Schizosaccharomyces pombe: one gene and its partners. Changing the gene in region 1 together with any one later gene gives a genetic interaction. Each region holds a gene or a part of one and is shown in the gene's direction. Other genes may lie near its edges.

Evidence for each region.
Region 2: mutations in vms1 (region 1) and slx4 together harm fitness less than expected from each alone (positive genetic interaction), as found in Schizosaccharomyces pombe (one large-scale study listed by BioGRID).
Region 3: mutations in vms1 (region 1) and iwr1 together harm fitness less than expected from each alone (positive genetic interaction), as found in Schizosaccharomyces pombe (one large-scale study listed by BioGRID).
Region 4: mutations in vms1 (region 1) and pof14 together harm fitness less than expected from each alone (positive genetic interaction), as found in Schizosaccharomyces pombe (one large-scale study listed by BioGRID).

The regions. Positions count from the first base shown.
Region 1 is NC_003421.2:2,379,104-2,387,423, forward strand, and holds vms1 (protein Vms1), read left to right. Parts: upstream 1-3,349; 5' UTR 3,350-3,527; exon of another isoform or gene 3,528-3,598; 5' UTR 3,599-3,628; coding exon 3,629-5,431; 3' UTR 5,432-5,593; downstream 5,594-8,320. Other genes in the region: pcs60 (acetyl-CoA ligase), read right to left, coding at 1-920; SPOM_SPCC1827.05C (RNA-binding protein NIFK), read right to left, coding at 5,594-6,001, 6,079-6,464, 6,520-6,556; hom2 (aspartate semialdehyde dehydrogenase), read right to left, coding at 7,047-8,083.
Region 2 is NC_003424.3:3,114,675-3,123,175, reverse strand, and holds slx4 (structure-specific endonuclease subunit Slx4), read left to right. Parts: upstream 1-4,002; 5' UTR 4,003-4,175; coding exon 4,176-4,229; exon of another isoform or gene 4,230-4,313; coding exon 4,314-5,519; 3' UTR 5,520-6,296; downstream 6,297-8,501. Other genes in the region: protein Rng10, read left to right, coding at 681-3,797; glutathione S-transferase Gst3, read left to right, coding at 6,381-7,109; SPOM_SPAC688.03C (AMMECR1 family protein), read left to right, coding at 7,850-8,073, 8,203-8,501. UniProt on the Schizosaccharomyces pombe protein: Regulatory subunit of the slx1-slx4 structure-specific endonuclease that resolves DNA secondary structures generated during DNA repair and recombination.
Region 3 is NC_003424.3:1,592,076-1,599,138, reverse strand, and holds iwr1 (RNA polymerase II nuclear import protein Iwr1), read left to right. Parts: upstream 1-4,599; 5' UTR 4,600-4,684; coding exon 4,685-4,745; intron 4,746-4,798; coding exon 4,799-4,867; intron 4,868-4,956; coding exon 4,957-5,269; intron 5,270-5,358; coding exon 5,359-5,749; 3' UTR 5,750-5,837; downstream 5,838-7,063. Other genes in the region: glutamate-ammonia ligase Gln1, read left to right, coding at 1,568-2,647; signal recognition particle receptor beta subunit Srp102, read right to left, coding at 3,213-3,728, 3,777-3,944; peptidase family curved DNA-binding protein Cdb4, read left to right, coding at 6,056-7,063. UniProt on the Schizosaccharomyces pombe protein: Directs RNA polymerase II nuclear import.
Region 4 is NC_003424.3:2,243,833-2,251,335, forward strand, and holds pof14 (F-box protein Pof14), read left to right. Parts: upstream 1-1,902; 5' UTR 1,903-1,953; coding exon 1,954-3,249; 3' UTR 3,250-3,296; downstream 3,297-7,503. Other genes in the region: microtubule plus-end binding protein, EB1 family Mal3, read left to right, coding at 1-790; byr3 (translational activator, zf-CCHC type zinc finger protein), read right to left, coding at 4,111-4,650; tRNA (uridine) methyltransferase trm9, read right to left, coding at 6,540-7,145, 7,195-7,275. UniProt on the Schizosaccharomyces pombe protein: Expression is induced during oxidative stress. Plays an essential, SCF-independent, role in the stress response to hydrogen peroxide for survival, by negatively regulating ergosterol synthesis via direct binding to the squalene synthase erg9.

The DNA.
Region 1 (8,320 bases):
GCATATGCCTCAAGGACAGGAGCACGGAAGGTAGCCTCTAGTTTGCTTAAGACTGGTGGTGCCAAGGGAGAAGAGCAAGAACGAATGAAACGAATTCGAGGAAGAGGTTTGGGAGGAGGAGTACGGAGAAGGATTTGATGAATAGTGGGGACCGCAGTATACCAAGTAGCACCATACTGAATAAACTCCTTCCAGAAGCTGTGAGCAGAGAATTTGGGAGGTACAACGGCACATCCACCAGAAGCTAAAGTAGAAAGGAGGCCACAAAGAAGACCGTGAACGTGAAACAAAGGCATGACAACGTAAGAAGTATCTCTTGGATCCAATCTATAAGAGGTAGTAATGTTATGGATGCTACGGCACAAGTTTTTGTGAGTCAAAGGAACGACTTTAGGGCGTCCAGTGGTACCACTAGTATGTAGGACAAGCATAACGTCGTCGGGTTGAGGAAGACCAAGTGGTTGAGGAGCATTAATTTTGGCTCCTTCAAAGTGAACAATGCGAACTAATCGAGACTTGGGACACCAAGCAAGTTCGGCCACTGCGACAGACAATTTCTTAGCAGCACGAACAGCAGGGGTATTTGCGGCAACGGAGCCTTCGGGAACAATGACGAGTTTACTTTTCAGATCATCAATGTAAAACTCAAACTCGGATTGCTTGTAGTTGGAGTTCAGGGGCCCACAAATAGCTCTTTGCCAAGAAACAGCGTAAAAAGCTACGACGAATTCCAAGCCATTGGGAATAGCAATGTTTACAGGGTCTCCAACTTTTATGCCAAGGCTGGCAATTTGGCGCTGAAGATCCATAATAGCAATTCGAAGCTCACTGAATGATAGTTCTGCATTTAAAGAAGGGGCTACCAAGGCTCTCGCACTAGCATCACCTTGAATAGCTGAATATAAAGTAGTAAAAGACATTTTCAAAATTCTAACACCAAAAAAAGTTTATATATGATAAATTAAATAAGTAGTAATTCAAAAGTAAGAATTACAATGTTTAACCTCCTCAAATGCGGATTAAGGAAGCAGCAAAAGGAATGAGTTTACACGGAAAATGAGTTAAAAAATCGGATAGATAGGTAAGACACTAGTAAAGCTAAATACCTAAAAAGTTTTTCAACGCACGAATAATAAAGAGTTTCTTCAAGAAAAAACTACTCAAGTATTGAAAAAAAATCTTTTAGACGAGAAATCTTGAAAACTTCCCTAAATCCTTTGTAATTGGTTTTTACTTGTATATGTTAGTCAAATGTAAAGTGAGTGTTGAATTAAGTGATTAAATCTTTTATTGCTTCATTAAAATAACGTACAATGAACCAACTAAAATATTCTTCTTTTAATGAAGGTAAGTTTTTGTTAAGTTGAAGAAATCAAGAATACAGTACTAGACCCGATTGCAAATTAGATCCCCTAAATTGCGCAACAGATCTAGGCGCGAACGCAATGATTTATCCGGTATTCAAAGGGAGGTGGTAGTAACGAAATTTACGGTAAGAGTATAACAAGAAAAATATGGATTCCTTATTCTGGACTTTTATAGAAATTAGTTAAAAAATATTGATGAATGAAGAATGGCATTTATGGTGGTTGCATCGAATCGAATTCATTACTAATGGAATTGATTTGTCTACATTAGTGATTCTTCCTATCTTTTGCAAATTAAATGAATTCAACGGAAATGACTCAAAGGTATAATACTAAAGCACCTCCAAGAAAAAAAACTAAGTTGGTAGAATTAAATTTCTGTTTTTCTGAATTTCACAAAACTAAGCGTTTCAATTGAGAAAGTTATTCATTATCTCTTTTAATCATTAATTTCGCTATTATGTATAAATTATTCTTCATAAACTTGACTTATATTAGTTTAAATCGATCGCATTTGCATGCTTGCAAATGCTTCGATACTTTCCATTTGTCAATTTTTAAAATTAATGTAAATAGTGCTTTACAGCAGATTGAAAAAATTGCTTGCACTTAATTATCTACTTAATTAAAGGACGCTGGAATATACAGACAGGTCTCTCCGTTCTCAATCTAAAAGGGATTCATCCAGTTTAGTTGTAATGGAATCATTTCAGCATTGTACCAAGTATCAAGTTTTTTACTGGATGAATATAAATATAAATTAATTGAAGTAGTTTTTTTTTTAAATCGAGAGCTATATGTTTGAAATGTGTTAGTGCTTTTGTTAATATTTCCCAAATAGAAACGGTCGAGAAAGAATTATTATTTGACAACGAATCCCTCAAGTAAAGTAAGTATAATAAGGGAATCCTAAATATTGAACTTCCCTGAGTAAAAACCGTTGATGCTGAATCAAAATATTCCTATTTCGGGTTCTTTTAAACTTTTTTTATGGAAAAGGACATGTTCCTTAAATTCGTCGGCTAGGTAAATGTTAAAAAATTTATGCGAGATTACAATGTCAATGTCACTTGATAAAGTAATCCACAGTAAAGTTTACAATGATTAAACAGAACATTGCAAACGATGTTTGAAGTTATAGGGATTTTTACGTTGAAATTAAACGGGTGGTTTGTCGCCTCAAATTCACATGGTCTATCTCTGATACGTCCGATATTGCTACTGATTTTAGGAAATTATACTGGTTTGTTGCATTCATCAACGCCTTGAACACTGAATTAAATCTTCTCTTTTTTTAAACTAATTCGCACTTCATATTTCCCGCTATCTCCCATTGATTCATAAATTAGTAGCGTGAGCATATGCGAAACAATACCTGCAAAATATGTGGATTATATCATCTAAATAATTATTAGTATTCACTGCAAAGATTAAAATTCCTTTTTCTTAAAAAATTTATTATATATACATACGTAAAATTCTTTCCTCAATTTGATGTCTTAAATTTGGTGGTTTGCTTGAAGGCATATTATTCTCAAGATAATAAAATTTTTTTTTTTTTTTTTTTTTTTTTTTTTACAAAAATAATATTAAACAATCATGCTCAGTCAAATTTCAAGTGACGAATTAATTTTTGGTATTTATTTTTTAATACGAAAAGGAATATATACAAATTGCGACTGCATCTAATATAGTTTTGAATTAGCTAAAGCAGTAGCATAATTTTTGCACTATTAATTTAAATAAATATTATTACAATCACCAACATTATACAAATGTTATTTTCGATTTTATATTTACATTCAATTTAAAATTCATAGATTTTTCACTGTTAACGACAGCTTTTTCTCAAATATTAAATTTTGGACTATATTAGTTAAATAATAAACGCAAGTATATACCACTAAGTAAAAAAATTACATAAATTTGATTTTTGATTGACTGTTTGCTCTTACCTAATTAATCCTCTTACCTATATTGTCTACAGCCTTATTTTTTTTTAATTCATTTTTGTGGCCAAAAGGCTTTAAAGTCTTAATTTACATGAAAATAACCTTTTTCTTCTTTTAATTTCAAGAAAAAATTGTAAATTAAAAGCAAACTACCTGCATCTTGTGGTCAAATTACTTAATCCTTATTAAAGTTCGTTTTTGAGTATAAGTACGCTAATTGCTAGATTGAAATTCTACTGAAAATTATTGCATATTTTGTAATGCTTACATTATTTTTAGATCTTGCTAATTACTTGTCTTCTTCGAAACATGGGTGATATTTCGAAGCACAATATTTTTTCCCTTCCTGAGGATATCTTAGCAAAACTAGAACTACGAGAGGAATACTCAGTTGAGGAAAAAACTGATAGTGCTAATTTGTCAAACCAAGGCGATATTGTTGATTCCACTCAGAAAAATATATCATCATGTGTCAATTGCCAGATTGACAATCTGCATACTCTGGACGAAAGAAAAAGTCATATTAAATCTGACTGGCATAGGTTCAATACGAAGCGAAAAATTACAAAATTGCCTCCGGTTTCTCAAGACGAATTTGAAAGCATAATTGAAGATTTACCAGAATCACTGTCTGGCAGTGAAAGCGAGACAAACTCAGAATCCGAAGAAGATAATTTCCAAATAGAGAAGGCTTTTAAACAATCCTTGAACATAGGAAAAGTTGACTCCGCTGACGAAAACAACAATCAGCGAACAAACTCACCATTAACGTGGTTTCAATTGAGTAATGCTTCTGCCGAAGTGCCAACCTATATTGGTGTATATAAACACATGTTTTCCGGTAATAACCATATCACTAAAGATTTACTTGTTCAACAACAAAATCATAACCGACAAAAGCCACTTCAACTAGCTATGTTTATGGTTGGAGGCGGTCATTTTGCTGCTATGATTGCTTCTAATGAGTTTAATCCTCGTGATCCCCATGTACCCAAAGTACTAGCACAGAAAACTATTCACAGATATACAACTAGAAGGAAGCAAGGTGGTTCTCAAGGGGCTGCTGACAATACTAAAGGGAACATTCACTCGGCAGGTAGTGGTTTGCGACGTTATAACGAACAAGCTCTTATTAAAGATATTCAGCAAGTTTTTAAAGACTGGGGAAAATTATTAGAAACATGCGATTTAATCTTTGTACGTGCAATCGGTTCATCTAATCGTTCAATTTTCTTCTCTCAACCAGGTGCTCTTATTTCTCCAAAAGATCCAAAACTCCGCGTATTTCCATTTACTACTAAACGAGCCACACATTCAGAATTACTTCGTTGTTACAAAGAGTTGGTTACTCCGAAAATTAGTCACGTTGATTCAATTTCGATAAAAGCTCAAGAAGAAGAACGAAAGAGACAAGCCGAAATTGAAAAGGAAATTAGACAAAGCAGATTACAAGAGGAAGAGAGGAAAAAGAAAAAGCTTGCTAAATATACCGAAGTAATTATCTCCAATTTGAAAGCGTCTAATATTGAAGCATTTTTGGAATATTTGCGCTCTAATGATTTGTCTATAAATTTTCAATTTTATCCTAAAAATGTTCATTTGCACACATCTACACCGTTGCATTACGCAGTTACCCAAAAAAATGCTAAATTAGTCGCTAAACTTCTCCGTAATGGTGCTGATCCAGCAATGCTAAATGGGAACGGAAAGACACCTTTTGAGATTAGTACTGGAAACAAAGAGGTTAAAGATGAGTTTCTAATTGCAAGGCATGAGTTGGGAGAGTCATTTTTCGACTGGGAAGCAGCTAAAGTTGGGGCTCCTCAGTCTAGAGAACAAATTCAGAAACAACGCCAAAAGGCAAAGACCAAATTAGAAAATCAAAGAAGGGATAAAGAGAGGCAAGAAGAACTTAGACGGAAGGAAGCGATGCAGAAAATTGAAGAACAATCGAAAAGGGATTATGATAAACTGCACGGCGAAGGTCATTCATTAGGAATTAATAATGTTCGAAAAGTTGACGAATTGCAATCATTAAGTCCAGAAATGAGAATGCGAATTGAACGTGAAAAAAGGGCTGCAGCTGCCATGAAAAGAATGCAAACAAAATGAGAAGCATAGTTATTTTAAATTAAAAAATACTTTACTAGAAAAAGACAACAAAAGGAATATTGTAAAAATATTAATCTTAGTATACGTTATTCACAATTCTATTATGCATAATAATAAGATATTCCAAATATTATTGTTATTACTCTAAAACCCCGTATTTATTTATTTGTGAGCAGCCAAAACCTTTTTGTTCTTCTTTTTGCTAGATTTTTTCGAAGCAACTGGACTAGCCGCCTTGGGATGAGATACATCCGATTCCAAAGTAATCCCCAATTCTTTGAGCTTGCGCTTTTTGAGTTTAAGCTTCCGATTATGGCGAGTAATTAACTTATCCGCTTTCTCCTTGCTTAATGGTTTTTCATGCTGAAGACGCGCTATTGTGGCATGAGGGATGCGTTTAAAAGGAACGTCGGCGCCTTTAAACATGTTTTCATGAACCTGGTCTTCAGGAATAACCTTACATTGTAAAAGCTTTCCATATAAAAGATAATTATGCATTGTCTCAGCAACGACATTGGCAACGTCTAACGATTCAAACTCGATGAAAGCATAATGCTTACTACTTCCTGTCTAATGCAAAAAGTTAGCAGTCGAAAATAAAAAGAAGAACTAAAATAGTCCGCTGTAGATAATAAATGTTACCATACCTTTCTATTGCGAGACATGCGAAGACGTAGCACAGGACCAAATTGAGAAAAATACATACGCATCTGTTTCTCATAAAATCCATGAGGAAGTCGGCCAACATACAAAACACCTTTTTTCTTTTGAAGATTCTTATTTTCAGAAACCTTTTTCTTTATGGTTTTCTCAGCATCTTCGCCCAAATCCATAATTTGCCTTGAGGTATTAACTAGCGCATTTGGAGAGTCTTCTTCATCATCATCTGAAGAACCGAAACCAGGAAAAAACTCTTTATCTTGTCCTTCTTCATCAGAGTTATCTACATGACCTTGTAATGATATATGCTCGGCTTTTTCAGCATCTTTGACTTTCTTCTCACGAAGAACCGATTTCGGTTGATTCACCGATTCTAAAATCAATTGAGTTAAAAACCATACAATAGTGATATTATTCCTATCACTTACTTTTCGAAGACTTTATAGGGCTCTTTGCCTTCGACATAATGTTTTATAAAAGTATAGGTATTGAACTGAATTTTTCCAGTGTCAAAAACGGCCAGATGCCTAAATTACAAGTTGTTATACATTTCCTTAAGCTAGACATGGTAGAATTTGAATTTGCGTTAAATATTCAAAAAATTTTTTAATCTACGCTAAATTTTTACAAATTGGTGTTAAAATTCGTTATTCATTTAAAATGGGAAAAAGTAGAAAATGACTTACTTCAAATATTAGAATTATCGATAGTATTATTCAATTACAAGGAATACAAATCTTTTGAAGGCTTCCGTTTTGGTTCGCAAGCACAAGAAACTTGATTAATAGAGGCAGTCCTCTAATTATATCACTGGCAAGGTAAAATAACAGCAAAAATGAAATATATTAACAAAGTTTTTCTTTATTCAAAACCTAATTCCAACTTTTAAGGTATCGAAAAATCCGTGGCAAATTTTGAGAGAGAAGAGTTATAACAAGAACAGGAAATTCGTTGTTTACATAAGTCCCTTCTTCACCGCAACTTCAGCATTCAAAATACCAGCACCAGCAGCACCCAAAACTGTGTTATGGACGAGGGAGACAAATTTAATATCAAAGATGGAATCAGATCTGATACGACCAACTGATACTGCATAACCATTTTCATTGTTACGATCGAGTCTAGGTTGAGGGCGGTCAGGAGTAGAATCATCGAAAACATAAATGGCTTGTTTAGGGGCACTGTAGCAGCCTAACTTTTGAGGTTCAGAAACATAGTTTGCCAATACTTCGCGAACTTGATCAGGAGTAGGAGAGGTCTTGGCAAACTTCACAGAAATACACATCAAATGGCCATCAATAACAGGAACACGATTGCACTGAGCAGAAACAACGTTATCAGTCAACTCATATCCAGAAATTGTGCTATTGACAGAGCCCAAGATTTTACGTGTCTCCCATTCAATTTTTTCTTCTTCACCGCCAATAAATGGAACGATGTTATCCAAAATGTCAAGACTGGAAACACCAGGGTATCCAGCACCAGAAATAGCTTGCATACTAACTACATTTGTTTGAGCGATAGGACCAAAAGCATCTTGTAGAGCTTTCAAAGGTACTACAACAGCAGCAGTAGAACAGTTAGAGTTAGTGATAATGCATCCACGATCCAGTTTGTTTTCTTGACGCTGGTACTTGATAACGTCCAAATGATCTGTGTTGACGGTGGGGACAACAAGTGGCACGGTAGGCTCACGACGATAGTTTTTAGCATTCGAAACGATGACTAAATTAGCATCACGAAAACTTTTTTCAATTTCGCCAGCAAAGTCAGCATCTAAGCCGCTAAACACAATATCGCATTCCGAAAACTCCTTGGGATCACAAGCCTTTACACTCATTTGGGAAATCTCTTTAGGCATTGCAATAGATTGTTTCCATTTAGTAGCAACTGCATATGGTTTTCCCGCAGAACGAGCAGAAGCGCCAAGAACAGCGATCTTAAACTCAGGATGATCGGAAAGGAGGGTAATGAAACGCTGTCCAACGGTGCCTATTTATGGTTAGTCATGTGTATCCAAAAACACTAGTCAGTGACACGGAACTGAAAATTTAATGTTCATCAAAAACTTATAGTACTAAAGACATGGAATTAAAATGATAAAATGTGAGTCTTTCCAGGCAATTTAATTCAAAAAGTGTACAATTAAAATGTAGACCAATTAAACAAGGAACCTAAAAAGTAAACACAAATTATTTTGTAACAGTCAATCCTTTAACTTTATGCATT
Region 2 (8,501 bases), on another chromosome or scaffold:
CTCGATTGCTCATAAAGGATCAGAAAACACCTTTTTTGGAGCAACATATAAATATTAGTCAGATATTAAAAAAAAAAATGATTAGAGCTGGTAACAGAATGTTGTGGAAGTCCTTAAGCCAAGTTGGATTAGCAAATTAGATCCTTCTTCAAGAAACGTTTTCCAATTAAAGTTATTAAGAATCTAAGAGTAATGAAAAATTAAACAAGTTGGTTTTGAAACACAATGATTAGGTAAATTGTATTAATTGGCCTGTTGAAGTTAGCAATCATAAATTTCCACTTTTGTAAATACTAATATGTTAAATTTGAAGATTGATGTATTTGTTCATCATTCCTATTAGCTGATTAGATATTAAAAGTACTTTGATTTCTTCAACAAACGCTTCTAGGATTACGCGTAAGCCACATCAAAAACAATGAATATCTGCTACATTCTGAAAAGGTGTTTGCTTACAATTTTTGTGCTTAAAACAATAAATAACCTACAAGCTTGTGCTTGTTAACGTATGGGGCTGGCGAAGTCAATGTTATGCAGTGACTATGTGGTAGTCAGCAATCTACTACTATCCCTTCACCTCCAACTTTACGCATGAACAATAGTACATCAATAACGGTTTTATAAGTAAACAAAAAGCGAATTTTAGTCCATGACTATATATTTGAAAACTTAATAGGTCAATGGAAGAAAATACGGCTCAAAAGCAAAGTAATGCCACAGGCTTGCAACGACACGTATCAGGAAGATGGATTTCCAATGTTCCAAGTTATGAAGGTAATGAATGGAGTAGTGAAGAATCTGAGAGTGAGGATAAGGAAAGTAATCTCACCAGTAGTGAGAATATCGGAAAGAATCCCGAAAGGGAATTAAATTCTGACGGAACCGATCGCATTATAGAAGAAGAGGAGGAAGAGGATGATATTGAAAACGAGGCAAGTAGCTTTAGCGAGCAAAGTGAGAACGAGAATTATGACTTTTCATACCCTGGCACTTTTGTTTACCGAAAAGCAGCATCTAGTAGCCATGAGACGCTTGCTACTAAGGTTGTCTCCGCTGATGAAAGTGCACGGTTATGGGCCGAAAAGAGGAGATTTCTTTTACAGAAATTAGGAAAAGATCCAAATTCTAAGCCGATTGATTACAAATCTTCCATGGCATCTTCTAGCACCCGTTCATCTCAATCATCACAAGTTTCAGCCATTCAACCTCAAAGTCAAGATGATAATAGGGTCTCGGATATTCGACAAATGGAAAATCGAAGAGAGTTAAATGTAAAGAGGAGATCTGTTTCAAGTCCAGCAGAGGATCTTGCTATCCGTCCTTTAAGTTTCTCTAGGTATAAAAAGGCTGAAGAAATACCCGAGTCTTTACCTCCTATCAAGGGTAGAGATAGTTTTTCAAGTGTCAGAGAGCTCAATGAATCAAACGTATTTGCTCGTGCTCCAAATAAGAACCGATTCTCATTTGCTTCAGTTGCAGAGACTGGTAGTGGCTCCAATTTTTCCAGGGCTACCTCTTCCAGAAGTTCAAAAACTCGTAGCGTCGTATATGAACCTAATCATAGGCATACCAGCTTCTTTGGGGACACGCTTAGTAACCTATCTTCCTCGTTGAACGATAAGAAATCTCCTAATGACGATCATGCAGTACTAGATAGCGAATTAATGGAGCAAACTTTGCCGGACTCTGCCGAGGCGGTAGAAATTGCTAATAATGTGAAAGAAGATATTGTTTCTACCGCTAACGATGATGCCAATGAATTGGATAATACGAGTGAAAAAGCTACTTTGGAAACTAGTTCAAAGCCTGTTACGGAACAAGCAATTGAGCAATCTGAGGTTGTTCAAGAAGTCGAGGAGGGAGATACGAACATGACTACTAATACAATTTTGAAACCAACTGACGAAATTATTAATAAGGGTTATGCGTATTCTATAACAAGCTCACACTCGAATCATTCAAATGAGAAGTTTGAACAAATACCTAGTCCTGATGAAAAGCTTTCTCGAACAGATATTGACACTCATGTCAAGCAATTACAAACTACTAAGTCAACTGATAGCTTGTCTATTCCATTTGTTGAGTCTCCGCAGCAAAACCCAGAGGAAGAACTTTCGGACTCACTATCTAACGATTTTGGAATCGATGCTGAAAAGGAGAAGGATGAAAACCTCTCAAAACCGGAGCATCATCCATCTATAACTTCTGTAAATTCACCATTTCTTTATTCTCCTAGTAAGCAGCCCTCAGGTGAGTTGGATGAAGAAAATCTTAAACTACGATTACAAGATTCAGATGTGGATGATGAGGTAGCCACAATTCGTTCACTTAAACAAAATAATGCTACCAATTCGGAGGTTGAGACAGTTACGAACGATCCTTCTTTCTCCCAACAACCGGGTACTCATAGTCGTATTTTGCGAAATTTTGATGCTATCAGCTCTATCGATTCAATACCTGATAGCTTTTCTGACAGCGCTGTCGATTTGCCTGTCGATTCGTCAAAATATACCCTTGTTGGAAAAACTCAAAGTAATTCCAATCTACTTCAGGACAATGCTGAGAAACATATTTCAAAATCGAACCTTGAAAAAGTTGATGTGAAAGGAGATACATCACCCAATTCTGTCGAGCAAGGGATTGAACCTCAAGCTGCTTCTGTTGTTGGATCTCCACGCTCTTCTTTGGTTTCTAACAACTCCCTAGAGGAAGGAGCACTATTGAAAAACTCAGAAAGCTTGGAAAGTATCTATGGTTATCTTTCGGAGGAGCCCGATCCAGCTCTTACCAAGTTGAATACCGAAGACCCTTTTTGGACTAAGGGGTCATCTGACGATGAACATACAATAGCCTCTGTAGAACAAGACGTATATCCATATAAAACTAGTCTTCCAACTATTGTTGAAGCGACTACTTCTCACACTGAGTCAAGTAACTCAAAGGCTCCCGCAATTGAAGAAACGACAACTACAAAGGTCGAAGTGGTAGCTGCTCACGATGCAGTTTCAATATCCAGTAATTCCAGTACACATAAGTCTCACTCTGAACCATTAAATAGAGATGAGTTAGAAGTTGCTGCCTTAAGCCGTGGATCCTTGCCAGAACCTCCAAAACCCAACAAGCAAATAGTCGTTCAGGAAGAGGATCAACGAGACACACTATCTCTAAAGACAAGCACGACAGGTTTATCTTCTCATTCTAAAAGTGCTGAAAATAATTCAACTCAGCAGTCGACCACTTCTCCTAGCATTAACTCCGGTGCTTCAGCGGATGCTGTTTCTTCTGGAATTTCCAAAAAGGCTGATAATAGTGAAACTAATTTAAATTACTTTGCTACCTTAGATGCGTTTGTCAAGAGTCCATTGATGTCGTTCGATGGATTGGGTGAATTAGGTTCTACCGATCAACGTTACAACTTTTTCAATCAAAAGATTCAAGAATATTCAGCATACGATTCGGGCCTTGATAATTGGATTCAGTTTTGCTTAGAAAAAGATGGTGAGGCTCCAAAGGAAGCTCCTCCTCCTCCTCGTTCTGAGCCAGTTTCAACTACAACCAAACTTGCCAAAAGAATTACGCAGCCTTCGTTGAGTCCTGCAAGGTCAACTGTTACTATAACTCACAACATTGCTACTGAAGCAAAAAAGAAGTCTAAATCTGCTGCTAATGATATTTTACATTTGTTTAAGAAGAAAGCAAAAAGTGAACAATCAAACGCCAAGTCGTCATCTAGCTCTATCAAAGAATCCAAAAAGATGAAAACTCTTTTCGGAAAAAAATTGGGATTCAAATCATAAATCTTTTGCATACACTTTTTACCTAACTTTTTTCTCTCTTTTGTAATTTTCTAATTTATGTATTGTTTACGAAGCATTGCATTTCAATCAATAAGATTTTATCTAAATATTGTTTCATTTTCGTATTGCGCATTTTTGTGAAACCATTTAGTTATTTTTATCAGACGATGAGTTAAAATATCAAGCATATTCTGGTTTTGCTGCCACTTGTCTAAACCAAAATAAGAAACTGGACGAAAAACTTTCGACAAATTCAGGCTAGTACACAAAACAAAACAATCGAAATTAAATATTCATCATTTTTTGGGATATTCTTTCGTTTTCTTGGTGTTTTAGGATTCTGAGTACGCTGCTTTCAAGCTAAGTTTCATTAAATGGATGTCGGCTGAAGAATACATTGAGGTATCATCTTCTCCTGATATATTCACGGACGTATGAAAAAAATATGATATTCTATAGCAAATGATTAGAAATATTACATTGAACTGAAGTAAATGTATATTAACTGAGCTTTAGGATGATGACATGATAACAATAGAGCCAGAGCTAAACAAAAACCCTAAAGATTGTAATAGTAAACGAAAAAGATCTGTTACTGAATGTTGTGAAATTAGGCTGATAACTTCTAAATGTGATTTTGAGTCTACTCAACAGCTTGTGCATCACAATTGTACGGGACATAAGGTTCATGAGCACAACTTAAACGCTGTGGATGAAGAAGATTTTGATACTGAAAATCTCCCTCTTCTTTTTTCTTCCTTTAGCGACAATGAATCAGATATCTTAGAACCCGATCTTAACACTCGGGTAGCTGAAGATAATGATGTCCTTTTATCTAGATACAGCAAAATTAAAAATAGTGCTTCATGCAGAAATACTTTCGAGCACTCTGCATATCACTCAAATAGGGAAGAAATATCTTCTAGTGGTTTTTATTACCATAGGAAGCCTCAATTGTTCGAAAAATCTTTAGAGAAGTTAGGAAATAAATCAATTGAAGCCAACAGGAGTCCTCTTATAAAAGAACTTTGTGAATCGGCTAATTCTACTGAAAACGTTTGTTTTTCTGTTTCCACCGTTGATGAAATTCAGCAAAGGCATCCAAGCGCCGGTCATTCAATAGACTCAACTTGTCAGTCAAACTCGTTTCTTGAAGGCGATAGTGCTACACATAAGAAAAAAAAAACGGACAATATTAAAGAGTTTACTTCATGTGAATTTAATGACCGTAGCAGAACCCTGTTAAACTATGCCGGTTACATGGACACTAACAAAAACGCTGATAATGAAGCTAAATCATTAAAAGAAAAGTTGGAGAATTTTCCGGTTGAAAAATTACGTGCTATAGCGGAAAGTTATGGCTTCAAATCATCAGATTCGAAAGCAACTCTCATTAAGATAGTAGAATCTTGTTTGGATGCAATCGATAGCCGATCTCAGTCTAAAAAATTAGGCAAAGAAACTCCCCATGATTATTTGATAACTTCTACTAAAACAGTATTGGAGTTTGATGATATAGTGACACAGACTCATAGAGCAATTTCGCAAGTTGTTAAGCAAGCCAAAGACAATAGTGTGTGGATTAAAATTCTTACGTATTCTGCTATTGATGTGGAAGAATTTCAACTTTGGCTGAAGCGGAAAAATTTAAATGTTTCGCTAGATCTTATAAAGTCTTGGTGCGATAAGTATGGAGTACTCATGAAAGGGAGTTGGCATTAGCTAGCTAATCAGTGATTTTTGAGTGAAAATTGATGGTTTTTAAAGCAAAACAATATCATTTTTACAAAAAGATTTTGGATTTTTGAGCATCAAAATTAACAGCAAACAACCCAGCTTTAGATTTAAGTCAATTCAAGTCCTGTTTTAGATAAGAATCGTCCTTTGCAGCAGTGCTGAGGAAAAATCAAGATATCTTTTATGTGTTATAACGAGTAACATATATTATTGGAATCAAAAACTAATCATTATATCTTGCTTGGTCTTTGGAAACAGTTTGAACTGTTTGAGATAGCTTGTCTATGAACTATTTTGGAATATTCGGTATACAAATTTAGTACTATAACTTTTTTGTTAACACCACGTTTTACAAGGCAGTATACGTTGTTAACTATGAAAAAACCGTAACTCCAATTTATGTAAAATATGGCTTCTGTATTGTGATATTCAACCACTGAACTTCTTTTCATATGTCAGTCAGAATGCCAAGTAAATCCAACTGCTGCTCTTTTAGTATAAATGTACTGACTACAACAGTAAAATTGGTCTTTCATATAAATCTAGTACTGCACCTTTACAGCGGGCTCATGACGGACTAGTGATAGCAATTCAAATGAAGATGTTATTTCATTCCTATATCTACTGTATCTTTTTCTTAAGCAAACATAAAGTGTTTTGCGTATTTGTTGCATACGCCACTATATATTTCGGTGACTGACGTGCATATGAGGTGTAGACGCAGCAGCACCCATATATACATTCCAATTCCCACATACTTCCCTTCTTTGATCGAAATTATTGCATCTTAGAAAGTATTTATTTTGAGTATTCAATTTGATTTTGTTTTTATTTTTGTAACCAGATATGATTGTTTTACACCACTTAAAGAACTCTCGCTCTACTCGAATTGTATGGATGCTCGAAGAACTCAAAGTGCCTTATGAAATCAAAGTTTATGACCGTGTCGACGGACGTGCTCCCCCAGCGTATACTAAGTTGTCACCATTAGGCAAGAGTCCTATCGTTGTCGATGACGGTGTCACTTACATTGAAAGTGCAGCCATTTTGGAGCACCTGGTCAGAAAGTATGGACCGTCATTTAAACCCTCAGAAGAGGATGTTGCCGAATTGGAAAAATATGAATTATGGATGCACTTTTCTGAAGCATCTCTTATGCCATTTATTTGGGCAAGTCATGTTTTGGATCTTAGTGTGAACATGACTCCCATTTTCTTTCGTTATATTGTTCGCCAGTTTGTGAATGGGATAAAATCCAAGTATCTAAGTAAAGAAACATTTTTGAACCTTGACTACATTGATAATCACCTCGCATCGAACGAATACTTTGCAGGCGAACAGTTCACCGCTGCGGACCCGCAGATGTGCTTTCCTATATTTGCTGCTCAAAGAGATTACCTATCTCAGAAACCTTACAAAAATATTAAGCGTTGGATGCGGGTTGTCAGTGATAGGCCTGCATGTCGAATTGCTGCTGAAAAAGTTGAAGACAATACGTTGACTTTGTTTTCTGATGTGGAAAGGTACTCCCATCCCCCTACCCCTCCTCCCGAGCAAGTTCGCTCTGATGAATAAGATTTCTGCCGTGGCTCTTTTTTTCTTAAGCAAGTCGGCTTGAGACATACAAGGCTTCAGCAAGCTTACTTTTTTATTCTGCTTGTACGGAACTTATGCTGTTAATGTAGATAATGATTTGTACAATAACTAGGATATTGTGGTAACTACATAAAAATTTTTGCGACACCCCTTTTGAAATGATTTTCCGATGCAAGAAACAAGGCTTCGGTGCTTAAACGCTTGGACTTTTCTCTCTTTATCTGTCTCCCTCTCTATACATATATATATATATTATATACGCGTATACATCTAGTTTTGTGAATGGGAACATGTTACTGTTATTTAGTCTGAAAAAGAAGTTATGGTTACAAATCTTGTTTTTGATTTAATGTTAATTTATATATGACTACTTTTGAATTCAATAAGTTTTGCTGCTGTTGCATGAATTGTTTAACTAGGTAGTGAAAACTTAGAAGAGTATTTATTTTGTAAAGAATGCTTTAGTGTACAGTTAAACAAGTTCTCCATTTTCTTTCACTTTATGACAGAAGACATAAACAGGGCCCTACTAACTAACTTTTTTTAACATGAAACATGAAACAGTATAATGAACTTGGACGTTATCGTAATCACTTACAACGTATGATTTGTTGGCCATCCTTAAACAAAGAAAGTTGGAATGATGTATGAATAAAATACCATGGCTTACAAATTGTACCGAAAGCGTCCGTAGGCAATTGCTACTACCACTAATATAAATGGACAAGAAAGAGTATTGTTATTATTGCTTTGAAGTAGTTGCTGCAACTTTAGAGCATCGAAAGGTCCGAGACAAGTGGAATGCAAAGAGTTGGACCCGTAGTATCCCTCTGTTCGTAAAGTTTGCATCTGGAAAAGGCCATGATAAACAACTACGAGGTTGCATTGGAACTTTCCGGGCACGTCCTTTAGTTACAAATTTAACATATTTCAGTAAACAAGCGTAAGTGTGTCTAAAAATGGTTCATAGTTCGTTGTAGGCGTCAATGATAAATCATAGACCTTCGTATGAAATTGCCGATGAAATTGAAAAGAAGAGTAACCGAATGCTAATACAACATTTTAAAAATAGTGCATTTTGTGATGAACGTTTTCGTCCTATCTCCTTGGGAGAATTGGCTCTTTTAGAGTGCCAGATAGACTTGTTAGTCGACTTTGAACCGATAGATGATCCATTAGATTGGGAAGTTGGCATACATGGCGTGTCTATTAAATTTACGGCAAATGGAATTCGTTATTCTTCGACTTATCTACCTTCTGTAGCGGCTGAACAACGTTGGGATCAAGAGGAAACCCTAGAAAGCTTGATACATAAAGCAGGCTACTATGGATCAATACGTTCTTTACAAATAACTGCTACTCGCTATAAGT
Region 3 (7,063 bases), on another chromosome or scaffold:
ATGAATGCATTAACAATATCTCAGCGACCCTATCGCTCTTCTCTATTTTGTTGCGCTACTCTTTGTTTTCATTCTACAGTTTTTGTTAACCTCGTTCTTATTGCTAACCTCACTCATATTGACTGTGTTAAGACATGCCCTTGATGGAACTTGTCGTGCCCTGGTATTGTTACTTCAATGTTAGTCTAGTCAACAGCTGGCAACACATAGCTTCATTGAATCCTGATAAGAAGCCCCTCCTCATCTAAAAAAAAAAAAATTAAAATTAAAACACGCTGAATAGTCAGCGTCTAGCTTTCCTATCCACTATTATCATCGTCGCATACGTCCACACTTGGTTGGGGTATCTAGAATACCAACGAAGAACTGCCTACCTAGAGATAAAGCAACCCAACCTAATTACCTACTTAGTAGCAAAAGTAAATTTAGACTATCACACATTTGAGATAAACTGATTATTTACAATGACACCTTGTTAATTTTAATTACACAACATGCAATCGTAGTAATAGCAATGTATATCTTCAAGGCAACTCGTTATGAAGCTTCATTTCTTTAAACTGATATCCTCGTTCTCTATATCTCTCTCTCTTTCTGTGTGTGTGTGTGTGTGTATCAACTCTCCCTTTGCTTTGCTCATACATGCAAGCGAACACATGAGCACCCATCATACCCAGCCTGCTCTCTCTCTCGCTCTTTACGCGCTCCGAAAATCTCCGTAATTGCAGCAACGATGACTTGCGGTGTCCAGCTTTTCCGGGTTAATTCATGATAAAAAAATGGAAAAAAGGCGATCCCTGGCACTATCTTTAGGCGCCTTTTCCGCCAATCATTCTAGATAAATTATCTTCCATATCATTCATTCGCTCCATGATTGGCCCATACTTCCAATCATCTGTGATATCTTGCATTCTGGACAAGAACCCCCCAATCAAATGCTGCCCATCTATTGCAACCCTTACCCCAAACTCTTTATCTACGCCGGTTTCCTCGTTAACGGAGTGTTGGAGGACGAGGTGCAATTAACCGGTCGTGGTATATAAAGTGAAGGCGCGAGTCACCTTACTCTTCTCCAAATAACATTTTCGAAGCCAAAAAAAAATTTCCACCCTTTTTTGTTTCGTTTCGTTTCGTTTGTTCGGCTTTCTTTCTTCTAGATTTGTAAAGAAAGATTTGATTGTGTAAAACGAAAAAAACGCTGTTATATATTTGCTTTTACTAGTAACATATATAATTCACGCTCCTACACATATTTTATTTTATACATATAAATTTTTTTTGGGGGGTTTTCTTCTTCTCTACACGGTAATTTAGATTAAACTCGGTATAATTGTTGCCTTGGTTTAAAGTTACTTTTTTTTTATTCTTCATTAATATACTTCGTTCGATATCCTTATCTCGGTTTTTCGATCGTTGACAAATTTTGTTAATCCTGGTTTACAGTAATCGATCTATTGTTTTGTAACGGGGTTTTCTTCTGTTGCTAGTTTTCAAATTTCCGTTCTCTAGACTTTCGTTTTTTTTTATCTTTTGTTTTTCTACCTTTTTTTTCCCTTTTACTTTCAATATGTCTCAATACGACGTTGAACCTCTTCTCTCCAAGGCTGCTATTTTAAACAAGTATGCCGATCTTCCTCAAAATGGTAAGGTTATGGCTGAGTACATCTGGATCGATGGTTTCAACCATCTTCGTAGCAAGACCATGACTCTCGATGCCAAGCCTTCCTCTATTGACCAATTGCGCGTTTGGAACTTTGACGGCTCTTCCACCGGTCAGGCCCCCGGCAACAATTCTGACACTCTTTTGAAGCCTGTTGCCATGTACAATGATCCCTTCCGTCGCGGTGACAACATTCTCGTTCTCGCTGCTTGCTACACCGCTGATGGCTCTCCCAACGGCTTCAACCATCGTGACGCTTGCGCCAAGTTGTTGGAGAAGCACGCTGACAAAGAAACTTGGTTTGGTATTGAACAAGAATATACCATGTTGGACTACTATGACCGTCCCTTTGGCTGGCCTAAGGGTGGTTTCCCTGGTCCTCAAGGTCCTTTCTACTGCGGTGTTGGTACTGGCCGCGTCTTTGCTCGTGACATCGTTGAGGCCCATTACAAGGCTTGTCTTTACGCTGGTATCAACATTTCCGGTATCAATGCTGAGGTTATGCCTTCCCAATGGGAATACCAAGTCGGCCCTTGCGCTGGTATTGAAATGGGTGACCAACTCTGGATGTCTCGTTTCCTTCTTCACCGCATTGCCGAAGATTTTGGTGTCAAAATCTCCTTCCACCCCAAGCCAATTTTGGGTGACTGGAATGGTGCTGGTTGCCACACTAACGTTTCTACTAAGGACACTCGTGCTGAAGGTGGTATAAAAGCTATTGAGTCTTATCTCGAGAAGTTTGCCAAACGCCATAAGGAGCACATTGCTGTTTATGGTGACGACAACGACTTGCGTCTTACCGGTCGTCATGAAACTGGTTCAATCGATAAGTTCACTTATGGTGTTGCCGATCGTGGTGCATCCGTTCGTATCCCCCGTTCTGTCGCCATGAATGGTTGCGGCTACTTTGAGGATCGTCGTCCTGCTTCTTCCATCGATCCTTACCTCGTCACTGGTATCATCACTGAGACCATGTTTGAGCATTAGACAATTTTCCCTCATAATTTAACGTGCAGGTCACGTCGACCACCCAGTTATTAACCATTTTGAAATATGTGTTTAAGTTTTTATAATATCACGTTTTTGTTTGTAGGACTTAATGAGTTTGTTGTGTAGTAATTTTGTTTATCAGCTTCACTTTTTTGTGATGTTTATCTTTTTTTAGAATATTTCATATGATGCATTCGTTGCAGTCATTTTTTTAAAGTATCACCATTTATCAACTGAGCTTGTTGCTCACCTTCTTATAATGATCAAGAGTGTTTTCATTGCGTATGTGAGGCTTTGATACAACCTTGGATTGTTCTTTTCTTGATATTCTTATACTAATATTAATGTTTCTCTTGTTTTTTTTTACCCAAGCTGTCCCTAAGTACAAGTACTTTACGAATCAGTTTGTCAACAACCCTGTTAATTTTTTTAAGTATTTTACAGTATTCACACAAGATTACGAATTTTTGAAATAAAACGATAGCTTATTCTAGACATGCAAAAATATATCTTTTTTGGTTGGTTACTTGTAAATTATCAATTGTGAATAATTAATGCATCTTTATTGTAAAGCTGATTCCATCCATGAAATCCATTCTTCAATGTTCGACATTTTTGCAACGCTGCCAGGAAGGAATTTAAGATCAGTATCTTCAATCTGATCTGCAACTGATTCCCAATCGACATCTTCAGAGACTATAGATTCGAGTTGAAGATTTTTCTCTTCCAAAATATTGTGCAGTTCAGCTTTTAACAATTGTTGAATTTTTTCCGCAGGTTGAGCAGTAAAAAGATCAAATTTATTACAGGCAATTAATAGATGAGGGACATGATGCTTGCGACATTTTAAAATTGTGTCAAACAACATCAATCCAACCTCGTGCACATCCCTGTCAATTGTAGCACTGTTGAGAACGAAAACTACAGCTTTTACATTATAATTTCCAGAGAATTTAGTAGTAATCCAACGTTTGGCCCTGGGATGCCCTGGAAGATCTACTAACCAAGCACCATATTTCCACACAGCTTCATTAGGTTCAATGCTAGGAACTGTAGTTTTCTTTTCTTTATAAATTAGCTATATAACAGTTAATAAGTATTCAAAGATTGTATATTATTGTTATACCTCACAAAACAAAGACGTTTTTCCAGAATCGCTAGGTCCAATTAAAAACACTGCTGGTAACTTCTTTTGAATTGTCTTTCTAGTAAAAAAAATTCCTAGGGTAGATATAATAGCTCCTATAATTATTGTAGCTACAATAATTTTAAAAGCTTGAGAAGTTCCATCCATATGCTGTTGTTGGTACCAGTTGGGTGTGTAGAAGATATATGTCAAATGTTACAAAGACCTCATTTTCATACGATCGTTGATTAAGATATATTTTTCAGAAGAGAGAAATAAATGTGAAAAAAAAAAAAAAAAAAAAAAGCATCCAAACTAGTTCTCGAAGTTTTGTTTAAAAAAGACAATTCTCGTACAGATTGCAGCAGTAGAGATTGACTGTACCCTCTTTTGAATTTAATTAAAACAATACAAAATACATTTTTCCTGAATGTATTACATGAGATAATTGCTTGATTAGACCAATCTTTGTTAATCGTCAAAGTATACATTTATATCATCGGTTCTTTTGAGTGGAATTAATTGTTGTGGGGCATCTTTAAGTTGTGAATTTGTGTAATTAGACTTATTGAATATTTTTGCTTCATTGTTTGCTCAACATTATTTATTATAGAAAAGTTCTTTTTGTTAAGTGATGACAATGATATAAATAATGAACTTCACGATTTTTTATTTTAAAATAATAAAACTATAGAATATTTTACATTTTGAAAGATAAGATTGCGTTGTTGTAATACTACTTCAATCCAAGTTATACTGAAGTTGCTGTCTTTCAGTCGAAGAGCTACTTTTATATCTACCTTTTTTACATTGCAGACTTGCCATCCCCCAACCGTAGATTTTGCTGGTTATATTAATTCCTTTTTTAAAGAGTCGTCTAACTCTCGTTATTAAATTGTGATACGAAGATGCCTCTTCCAGTACTTCGAGTTAAGCGTAAAGCTTCAGAAGATCCTGTTAACGCCCTATGTACGACCAAGCTTCTAAGTAAACTTTCTTTATCTAACTCCTTAATAATTTAGATTTGGAACTTGGAAACAATCCAAATTCTGTTTCAAGTACGAAAAGAAGGAAATTCGCCGGACGATATTGTATGCTACTTCTTGAGCTTTTGTGTTGGAATATTACACAAGGACTAATCATTTGAAAAACACAATTACCTTTTATTGACAGTTTCTAGATTTTAAACTATCACAAACGCTGAAGCAAGATGATCGGTATATTCAGATAAATGATGAATCTTCGGAACCCACTCATGAAGACGTTCGAAATATCCACAGTCATACAAAAATATCATCTCTAAAAAAGAACAATTACGGAATCCCTGTCGTCCAAACTTCTGAAGACGTTGTGAAAGCACCTACGCACATGGACTTGGGATCCCGTGAAAATACAAAAGGTATTCTTTCTTTCTCATCCCCACGCTATACAATTCAGAATTTACCTTCTACTCAAAGTAATAGAGTGTTCGACGCTATCCGTGTCGAACAAGGGTATGTCAACATCAAATAGAGTCAATTACTTAGTTCTGTTGTTATAAGAACTGGCTCTTGGCTTTTTTTACCTTAACTAACATTCATAGACATACTACGTATCATCCGCATCCTCAGCTAGATTCTATGATTCAAGAATATTTGTCAAATGGAGACCTTCCTCTTCAGCAATCTACGGAAGACTACGTATACGATATTTATGAAGCATCTAGCAAAGAACCAAACAAGCCAACGTTTGCTTATGGTGTAATTGATGCTTTGTCCATCCCAGACGCTTTTCGTTCTTCATTAGAACAGGAACTAGTCTCCGAGACAGTGGACTCTGATAAAGATGATCCATTACATGATGAAATTGATGAGGATTCAAACGCTGAAAGCTTCTATCAAAATAGCTATCCCGATGAAGACGAATGGCAAGATAGCAGTGAAAATGATGAATTTGCTTACTCCGATGATGCTGAGCAAGACTTTTATGATTAGATGTTTGCTACTTAAAAAAACGAACAAAATGGAAATCGGTTACAGTTTAATAGGTGAATGATATTATTTGGAGAAATTTATATCAGGAATTTAGTAAATTGTTCTATTGTATTTTTTAAAAACTCATACATTATATTGTGTCTGGGTAATATGTGTAAATTTTAATAGCATTACTATTTAGTTATATCATAGGATTCAATATGAGCCATGTTATTCATGAGTTTGGAGTCCACAATTTTGTGACTTGCAAAATCCTAGCACCAAGTTCTTGAATTTGTAGCCAGATTTAGCTACATCATAGACAATATGTCGACTAAAGAAGCAACTTCAGAGACTGCTGTCGATTATTCTTTGAGTAATCCTGAAACCGTCAATAAATATAAAATTGCAGGCGAAGTTTCTCAAAATGTTATTAAAAAAGTGGTAGAATTATGCCAACCTGGAGCCAAAATATACGATATTTGCGTTCGTGGTGATGAACTATTGAACGAAGCTATCAAGAAAGTATATCGTACCAAGGATGCTTATAAAGGTATTGCTTTCCCTACCGCTGTATCTCCTAATGATATGGCTGCTCATTTATCTCCTTTAAAAAGTGATCCCGAAGCCAATCTCGCTTTGAAATCGGGTGATGTTGTAAAAATTCTTTTGGGTGCTCATATTGATGGATTTGCTTCCTTGGTCGCTACTACAACTGTAGTTTCTGAAGAACCAGTTACTGGTCCTGCCGCTGATGTTATTGCAGCTGCTTCTGCTGCTTTGAAGGCTGCTCAACGCACTATTAAACCTGGTAATACTAACTGGCAAGTCACTGACATTGTTGACAAAATTGCTACTAGCTATGGCTGCAAACCTGTTGCTGGTATGCTTAGCCATCAGCAAGAGCGTGAAGTTATTGATGGCAAAAAACAGGTTATTTTAAATCCTTCTGATTCTCAACGTAGTGAAATGGATACTTTTACGTTTGAGGAAGGAGAAGTTTATGGCGTTGACATTCTTGTTTCAACATCGCCTTCTGGGAAAGTGAAGCGTTCTGACATTGCTACTCGTATTTACAAAAAGACCGATACAACTTACATGTTGAAACTTCAAGCTAGCCGCAAAGTCTATTCTGAAATCCAAACTAAGTTTGGTCCTTTCCCATTTTCCACTCGTAATATTAGTTTTGATTCAAGAACCAATATGGGATTAAATGAATGTACTAGCCACAAACTTTTGTTCCCTTATGAAGTTTTGCTCGATAAAGACGGAGGCATTGTTGCTGAATTCTATTCAACCATTGCTTTGACCAAAAAGGGTACAATTATTCTCAGC
Region 4 (7,503 bases), on another chromosome or scaffold:
AAAGGTGAATTTTGAATGCAATAATGAGTATCAATATATAAACAATTGGAAAGTTCTTCAACAGGTATTCTTGAAGAAGGGTATCGATAAAGTTGTAGACCCTGAGAGACTATCGCGTTGTAAAATGCAAGATAATCTGGAGTTCGTTCAATGGGCCAAACGTTTTTGGGATCAATATTATCCTGGGGGCGATTATGATGCGCTGGCACGCCGGGGGAATAGAGGACCTGCTAACACTCGTGTTATGAATTCCTCTGCAGGAGCAACTGGCCCTTCTCGTCGCCGTCAGGTTTCTTCTGGTAGTTCTACACCTTCAATGACTAAGTCATCAGCAAACAACAATAACGTGTCTTCGACTGCAAATACTGCGGCAGTGTTAAGGGCAAAGCAAGCACAACAACAAATCACTAGTCTTGAAACACAGTTGTACGAAGTTAATGAGACGATGTTTGGTTTGGAGAGAGAACGTGATTTCTATTTTAACAAGCTTCGAGAAATTGAAATACTTGTACAAACTCATTTGACCACTTCTCCTATGTCAATGGAAAATATGTTGGAGCGTATTCAAGCAATACTTTATTCTACTGAGGATGGTTTTGAGTTACCACCTGATCAACCCGCAGATTTAACTACCGCCCTTACGGACCATGATACTAACAACGTCGCTGAAGAGGCTCAAATGACTGACCTAAAAGACTCAGAAACTCAACGCGTTCCCTCTGCACCAGATTTCGTACATGCTAGGCTACAAAGTTTAGAGGTTGATGACGATGAGAATATCACGTTTTAAAAAGTACTAAGTTAAAGTTTTTTTTTGTTGCAAATTCTTCATTTTTCACTGTAACAACGTAAATAAAGGAAACCGAAATATTTATTTTTATAGGGAGTTCTTCTTATTCCTTATTGTTTATTTAACCTGATCGAATGTTGCGTGCCTCATGACCTCCAAATTCATTTAATTTCGTTCTTTTTCCTTAACATATAGCATTCTGTATACTACAAATGCTAATTGTAATAAACTTTAATCCTTAGTGTTTGAGCCGTCTAATTATCCCAAATAGGATATTTTTCTTATTTCTTTAAAAAAGCTTCAAGGATAATTTAAATTTATCCTGCTTCTACGTTTCAGTGATTACGAACCAAACTTTTTTATAATTAAATGTTGAAAAGTATGAATGGATGTTTCAGAATTTTATTCAATGATGCTGAAATATCTACTCGATTTAAAAAAAATTTGCATCCGATTTTAAAATCGCCTTTTTCATATATGAGCAAAATAAAGAGTAAAATATTTACTTTCAATGATCTGATTATGTTAAAACGTTTCAACTGCGTACGTCTCAGCGATGTAGAAGTTTAATTACTTATCCTTATCTTATATATATATATTGTTGACTTTATAAACCGTAGGTGTTTATGCTTGTCATTTTTACTAGCAATAGTAAAGTATGTAAAATTTTGAGGTACCTTTGTTAGTTTATTTTTTTTACTCGAACTATATCAACTTTAAATAGCAAATTTTTAAATCAAGCTTAAAGTTATGCAATTCAGCTACACGTCGTTAATAATAAATAAAACTCTTTCATTCACAATTCTTTAAATTTGCAAAGCAAAAATCTCAATAATGAAATTCAAAGCACCAAGTTTCCCCCCCCCCGCCGGGGGGTTTGATCAATTTGTCTTATCTGATCTGATAACACCAATGTTACGTCTTTCACACAAAGAATTAAATTCGATCCACATTAGTATAATATGCGAAGTATACCACTAGTTTTTATTATAAAACTTCTGTTTTCTATATAGGTTTTTATTCACCTAATTCTCAGGCCGGTATGAGTAAGTAACCATGTGATGTATAATTATGCAATGTTGATAACCGGCAAATTGAGCTTGCAGTCAGCCAACATCACCATCAACGAACTGTATATGGGTACTACTACTTAATCAAACTAAATGCTTCAATTTTCATTTCAAAATTGCAAAACGCATACATGCTATATGAATACCAGCGTGAATGAGCACTTGGATCAAGATGAATCGTTTTTAAGAATACTAATCGATACTCGCAAAAAAATAAGAAGCTCATATTTCAAGCCTCAAACATTTGATGAATTTGTGCATTGTTTAGCAAGAGTAAGAGCCATGAAGCGATTGGTTTCGATCTGTTCTAATTTTGATGAAGAAGACAATTGGAATGGTGTCTGGAATACGTTGGTTGTTGATGGAGATTCGCATGCTTCAGCAATGATTGATTATGAAGGTCTACTTGATAAATGCTCACTAAGTAGAAATCTTCTAGAATTGATTAATGATTATGCCGAGTATACTACCCAAGTCCTGCCTTTCAGAAAAATACCAAGTAGCGATAATCTTGACTCTTCATTAAATTTAACTGTTGCTTCACCTAAGTCAAATTTATATTATAGATACTCATCTGAGAGTCCTAAGTATGCAAAAATTTTGGATTGTCCGGATGAAATTTTACAGCTGATTTTTTCATATTGCTATGATGCTTCATACATAGAGAAGTTACCCTTTGCATTTTCATATAGAAAACAACGACATACCCTTATCCATGACCTCCCCAATACATGTTTACGTTTTAAAAAGATTCTCAGCCCTCGAAATGTTTCATTTTGGAAACGATTACTTAAGGTGCATAAAAAAAATCCAAATTCGGCTGTAACTTGCTCTGAGTCTATAAACACAAGTGCTGTGGCCAAATTTACCGATATCCCTACAATCATTCCAATTTTTCTTGATCCAAGTTATCAAAGTTATGCAGCAAAGACAATTCATTCTGATACTTCTTCGTTAGCCTCCTCGATCATCCAAACAGGAGATGGAACACAGTCATGCGATGAGTCTACATATATAGAGCTAGCATGCAATCTTGTAGGCCGTTGTGTGCTTTGCAATAGAATACCGAAGTTAACTAAGTTTAAAGATTGCATTACCTCATTTTACCGGCCTTCTGTTGCTACCAATATATGTGATCAATGCTTAGAAGCAATCATTGACTTTTATGAACCTGTAAGTAGATACAAATTTGATGTTATGAAAGATCGTTTAGGGGTGGGATATATAAGCAGGCCTGGTCAAAAATTCCCCTCTTGGTTATCGGAGCATGTTCAATTGGCTAGGGATGAAGAGAAAGCGTTCAAGAGTATTTACCATTCTCAAGGTGAATTTGCAAGAAGTTTATTTCGTTTGTTTCGAGCGCAGTTGGCTGAGTTATGTGAACAATAAAATTTTGGATTAATATACTACGATTTTATGTAATAGACAAATTCGATGTCAAATTTGTATGAAAGTAAAATTGAAGTTAATAAATTTTTTTTTGTCTATGACAACTGTTACATTTATCGTTCACCCGTTTTCAATTACAGTTCATTTTTGAAAAGCAGAGTAAGCAATGCAAGGAAAAAATAATATTAATTAGGCAAATGACCCAGAACCCTTTTGTAAATATTGTTATACAGATACCATGAGAGATTAAGAAGTAGAGAAGTTGTTAATAAGTCAGAGCATTAACATTTACTGTACAAACACATAAGGTAAATTAAGTTACTCAAAAAATACGAAAACGCCAAAACCCATTTCGTAAATGAAATTGATAGTGAGTTGTCATATAAAACCAAAAGTTCCATTAAATAATGGCACTAAAAAAAACAAATCATCCAAATGGACCAAGGAATTTCTATCATTTATAGAATTCCCATATTCCAAATTTTTTTATTTCAAGCTCGTGAATTGAAAATAATAGGAAAAAAATGCCACTACAACAGTAAAAATAAACTGAAACAAAAAGGATTTAATCTATCAACATCCATCTTTTAGCGGTGACGAGAAAACAGGAGAGAAATGAGGTGGTGCATCTCAGGCTTCAGTACAAATATCCTTAAGGATCCGAAGCAAAAATGAATTCAGAAGTGTGCGAAAAAATAAGGACGAAGAGAAGGATGTAAAATTATGCTTTCTATATAACTAAATGCGCAGATCGCTCAAGGGATTTGTAAGAATATGACCACTTGCCAAATTTGAATAAATCGGACAAGAAAAAGAAAAAATATCTTCATACCACGACAAAGGGTTATAAATAGCAAGCACTTATGCCTCAATTACAGGAGAGGTGCAATTGACGGCGATGTGGCCTGGTTGATTACACTTGTAACAAAGTTGACCATCTGAAGCTTGTTGACATTCAAAGCTGCGGTGTCCAATCTTACCACAAGAGTAGCATTTCACGCCCATAGTGCAATCACGGGCTTGATGGCCATAAGAGCCACAAGCATAGCAATTCATGTTGGAGCGATGACCACCAAATCGTCCGCCACTTTGTTGACCATTTGTACGACAGTCTCTAGCAATGTGACCAACACGACCACACTTGTAACATTCCGCACCTTGACGGGGGTTAGGGCTGCTGGGGCAATCACGAACGAGATGTCCGGCGGTACCACAAGCATAGCAAGTTTTTTCCTGTTGAGGCTCAGTGCATTCGCTAGCCTTGTGACCGGTCTGATTGCAATTGTAGCAGATTGAACCCTTGGTGCACTCACGAGCTTGATGACCGTTTTCACCACAGTTATAGCATCGAGGACCGGGACGAGTGGTTTGAGGAACGGTGGGAACAGATTCAGACTCCATCTTAACAACTCCTTTACAATTAAAAAAAATTATTAAAGAAAATTAAGAAAAATAAAAAAAAACAGAAAAAATGTACTTTTTCTCGCTAACCTGACTACACTTCCTTAATAAATAGGAGCGTGTGACTGTCTAAATTTTTCTTAAGTAACAAGCACATGGTGGCACTTGGAAGTAACGAATTTGACAAGCGACTATTTTGGTCTTAAAGATGTCAATAAATAAGAATTTAGTTGTTTTAGACCGACGGAAGAAGCACAACAACTTGCCAATTAAAAAGAGTCATGGAATCGAAGAATTGTTACCGCATACTTGCTTTTTTTTGTGATAGAGAGTGTAATATCTTACATAACTAGTAAGCTCACTCTTTCCCATAAACTCAGGACTTTTTGGTTCTGACAATAGCTTTATATCATAGCAATTATTGCCTCCTCATTGTAATGTAGATTGGTATTCCAAGCGAATATAACCAAACGCTTAGTTACTTTGAATCGTGGTAAATAAGCATCGTTATTTTTCATGGCAAAAAATCGTAGAAACATTGCATTCACAGTATAGCGCCTGAAGAATTGAGTTCAGTCATTTGCAATATATATATTACTGGAATCTATAGTTGTACATATTTTAGGTATCCAGAGTACCACGTGCTTGAATTCAAACAAATCAAAATAAATCCAAAAATTGTTTTGGTAAAAAATAATGCTTTGGCCGGGAATCGAACCCGGGTCGAATCGATGGCAACGATTCATTATACCACTAAACCACCAAAGCTTGTTGAGGTTTCGATAAAAAAAGATTTAATTATATTACGCGACGATATATCAACATAATAATTTTAAATAGATAATTAGGATCTTGGAAATCTTTTTATATTTTTCCTAGACTTTATGAATATAACAAATACGAAATAGAAGGTGAATGGAATAGAAAAAAAGTAATCATTCGACTAAGGAGCAAAGAACTGCTGATTACTTCTTTATTTGAATTTAGCAACCAAGAATTTATTAATGCATGTCGGATTATTAATTTAATTCATGCAGTAAGTGTTTTGCCAAACTATTAATTGCTTATTTTTTTCTCTTTGGAATTCGTTTTGGTAAATAGAAAAGCAAGTAACTTAGTCGCATTTAAATTATTAAATTCAAATCAAATTTTGTACGTTAATTACTATTCCTATTTGTGGCTTAATAAATTTTGTATAATTCCTACATATTTTTTACAATTTATCATTATTATTGGGACACGTTTATTCAAACACTGTTTTTTAGATAATTCATTTCATACTCAAGCACAGATTTATATTAAAAGTTTAACATATACAGAAATGCATGATTATTCCAAATTATTCTAAAAAAAAATATTTTTTTTTTGAAATTTATTCATTTTACAAAATGTTTTTGCTTGACATACTTCATCGATTTCCAATACTTATGCAACCTTTGAACCGTCATTTCACTAACCTACGTGAATAAACTATTAACAAAAATTAGATTAACATTTTAATTTCCAACCCATTCACAGATGTATAGTATCATTTAACAGAAAACCACTTCAATCGATATCAAATTATCACTATTGTCATACTAAGAAACCGTCAATTTTTTTTTTGAAAACAAGTACATTTGACCGCTTTTCGCCCTTGGGAATGACTAGTTCATCGCTTCATTTTATAATTAAACGCAGTAAATTAATAATCGAGACATAAAACACAGAAATTCTTCTACCAGTTAGATTAAAAAAAAAAATCTGTAAAATCATTTTCCGAACGAAAATAGTTTAAACTATGTAATTAAGGTAAAATAGAAATATTCCAACTTTTTGAGAACAAGTTCAAGAAAGATGAAAAATCTGTTCTATCAAGGTGATATGACGATCAATTTTCATTCCAAAACTTAGTTTTTTTCAGCAATTACCCACCAGTTATCACGGTCGTAGCCATGTTCCAATATTGAGCCGCCTGCGGTCTCTACTAACTCATTTAATTCACCCTTGCGAAATAAATGGTAGTAACGTTGATACGCAATATTTTCAGCAGGATCGTGCCCCTTTAATTCCTCCGGCTTTGCATTTGGATACTCATATTGCCTTTTTAATATCCAAGGAACATAAACGTCCTGCGGTCCGTCTTCTGAAAAACCACGCCTTGAATTCTTTTGTTCTAAAGCCCAAACAAAAAATAGTGCTTTCCCTCCTTTTACTAATGGTCTTAAAACTTCCTGAACAGCTTGCAACCTTCGGTTTTCATTGCTGAAATGATGGATTACAGCTATGCTTAAGGCAAAATCAAACCGATTGCTTGGATGAGGTACGTGCAGGCCATCAGAAATAACCATAGGACCTAGATTGCTTGCTATTTTAACAAGTTTTACGCAACGATCGCTTCCTATCATGTAAACATTTGGGTTAACCTTTTGGTATTTGCCATTTCCGCACCCAATGTCTACTCCTACAGAGCCCAAAGGCAAAGATTTTAAAAATTTTTCAACCACTGGCCATGGCTACAAAATGACTGATTAGCTTTAATTAAATATCGTTGTATTAACTTACCTTGTATCGAGTATCTGAGAAATGTGTTGCAATCTTATCATATACTTGATGAACATATTCATTTTCGTACTCTATTTCCATTTTAATATAAATAAGTAAAAATTTGTAGCCTTTGAAGCCGATTAAAATACGTCTCGAAGGTTGGGTAAGGTTAGCAAATGGTAAAACTAAAACGATGGGTTATAGGGATGTTAATTTCGAAATTAGAGATTGAAAATAATTTCCATTCCTTTGTTTATTGCCATGGTTCAAAATTAAGGATTTCATTATTCTTTATCATTTAAAGCAACAACTAAAACAAATTACAGC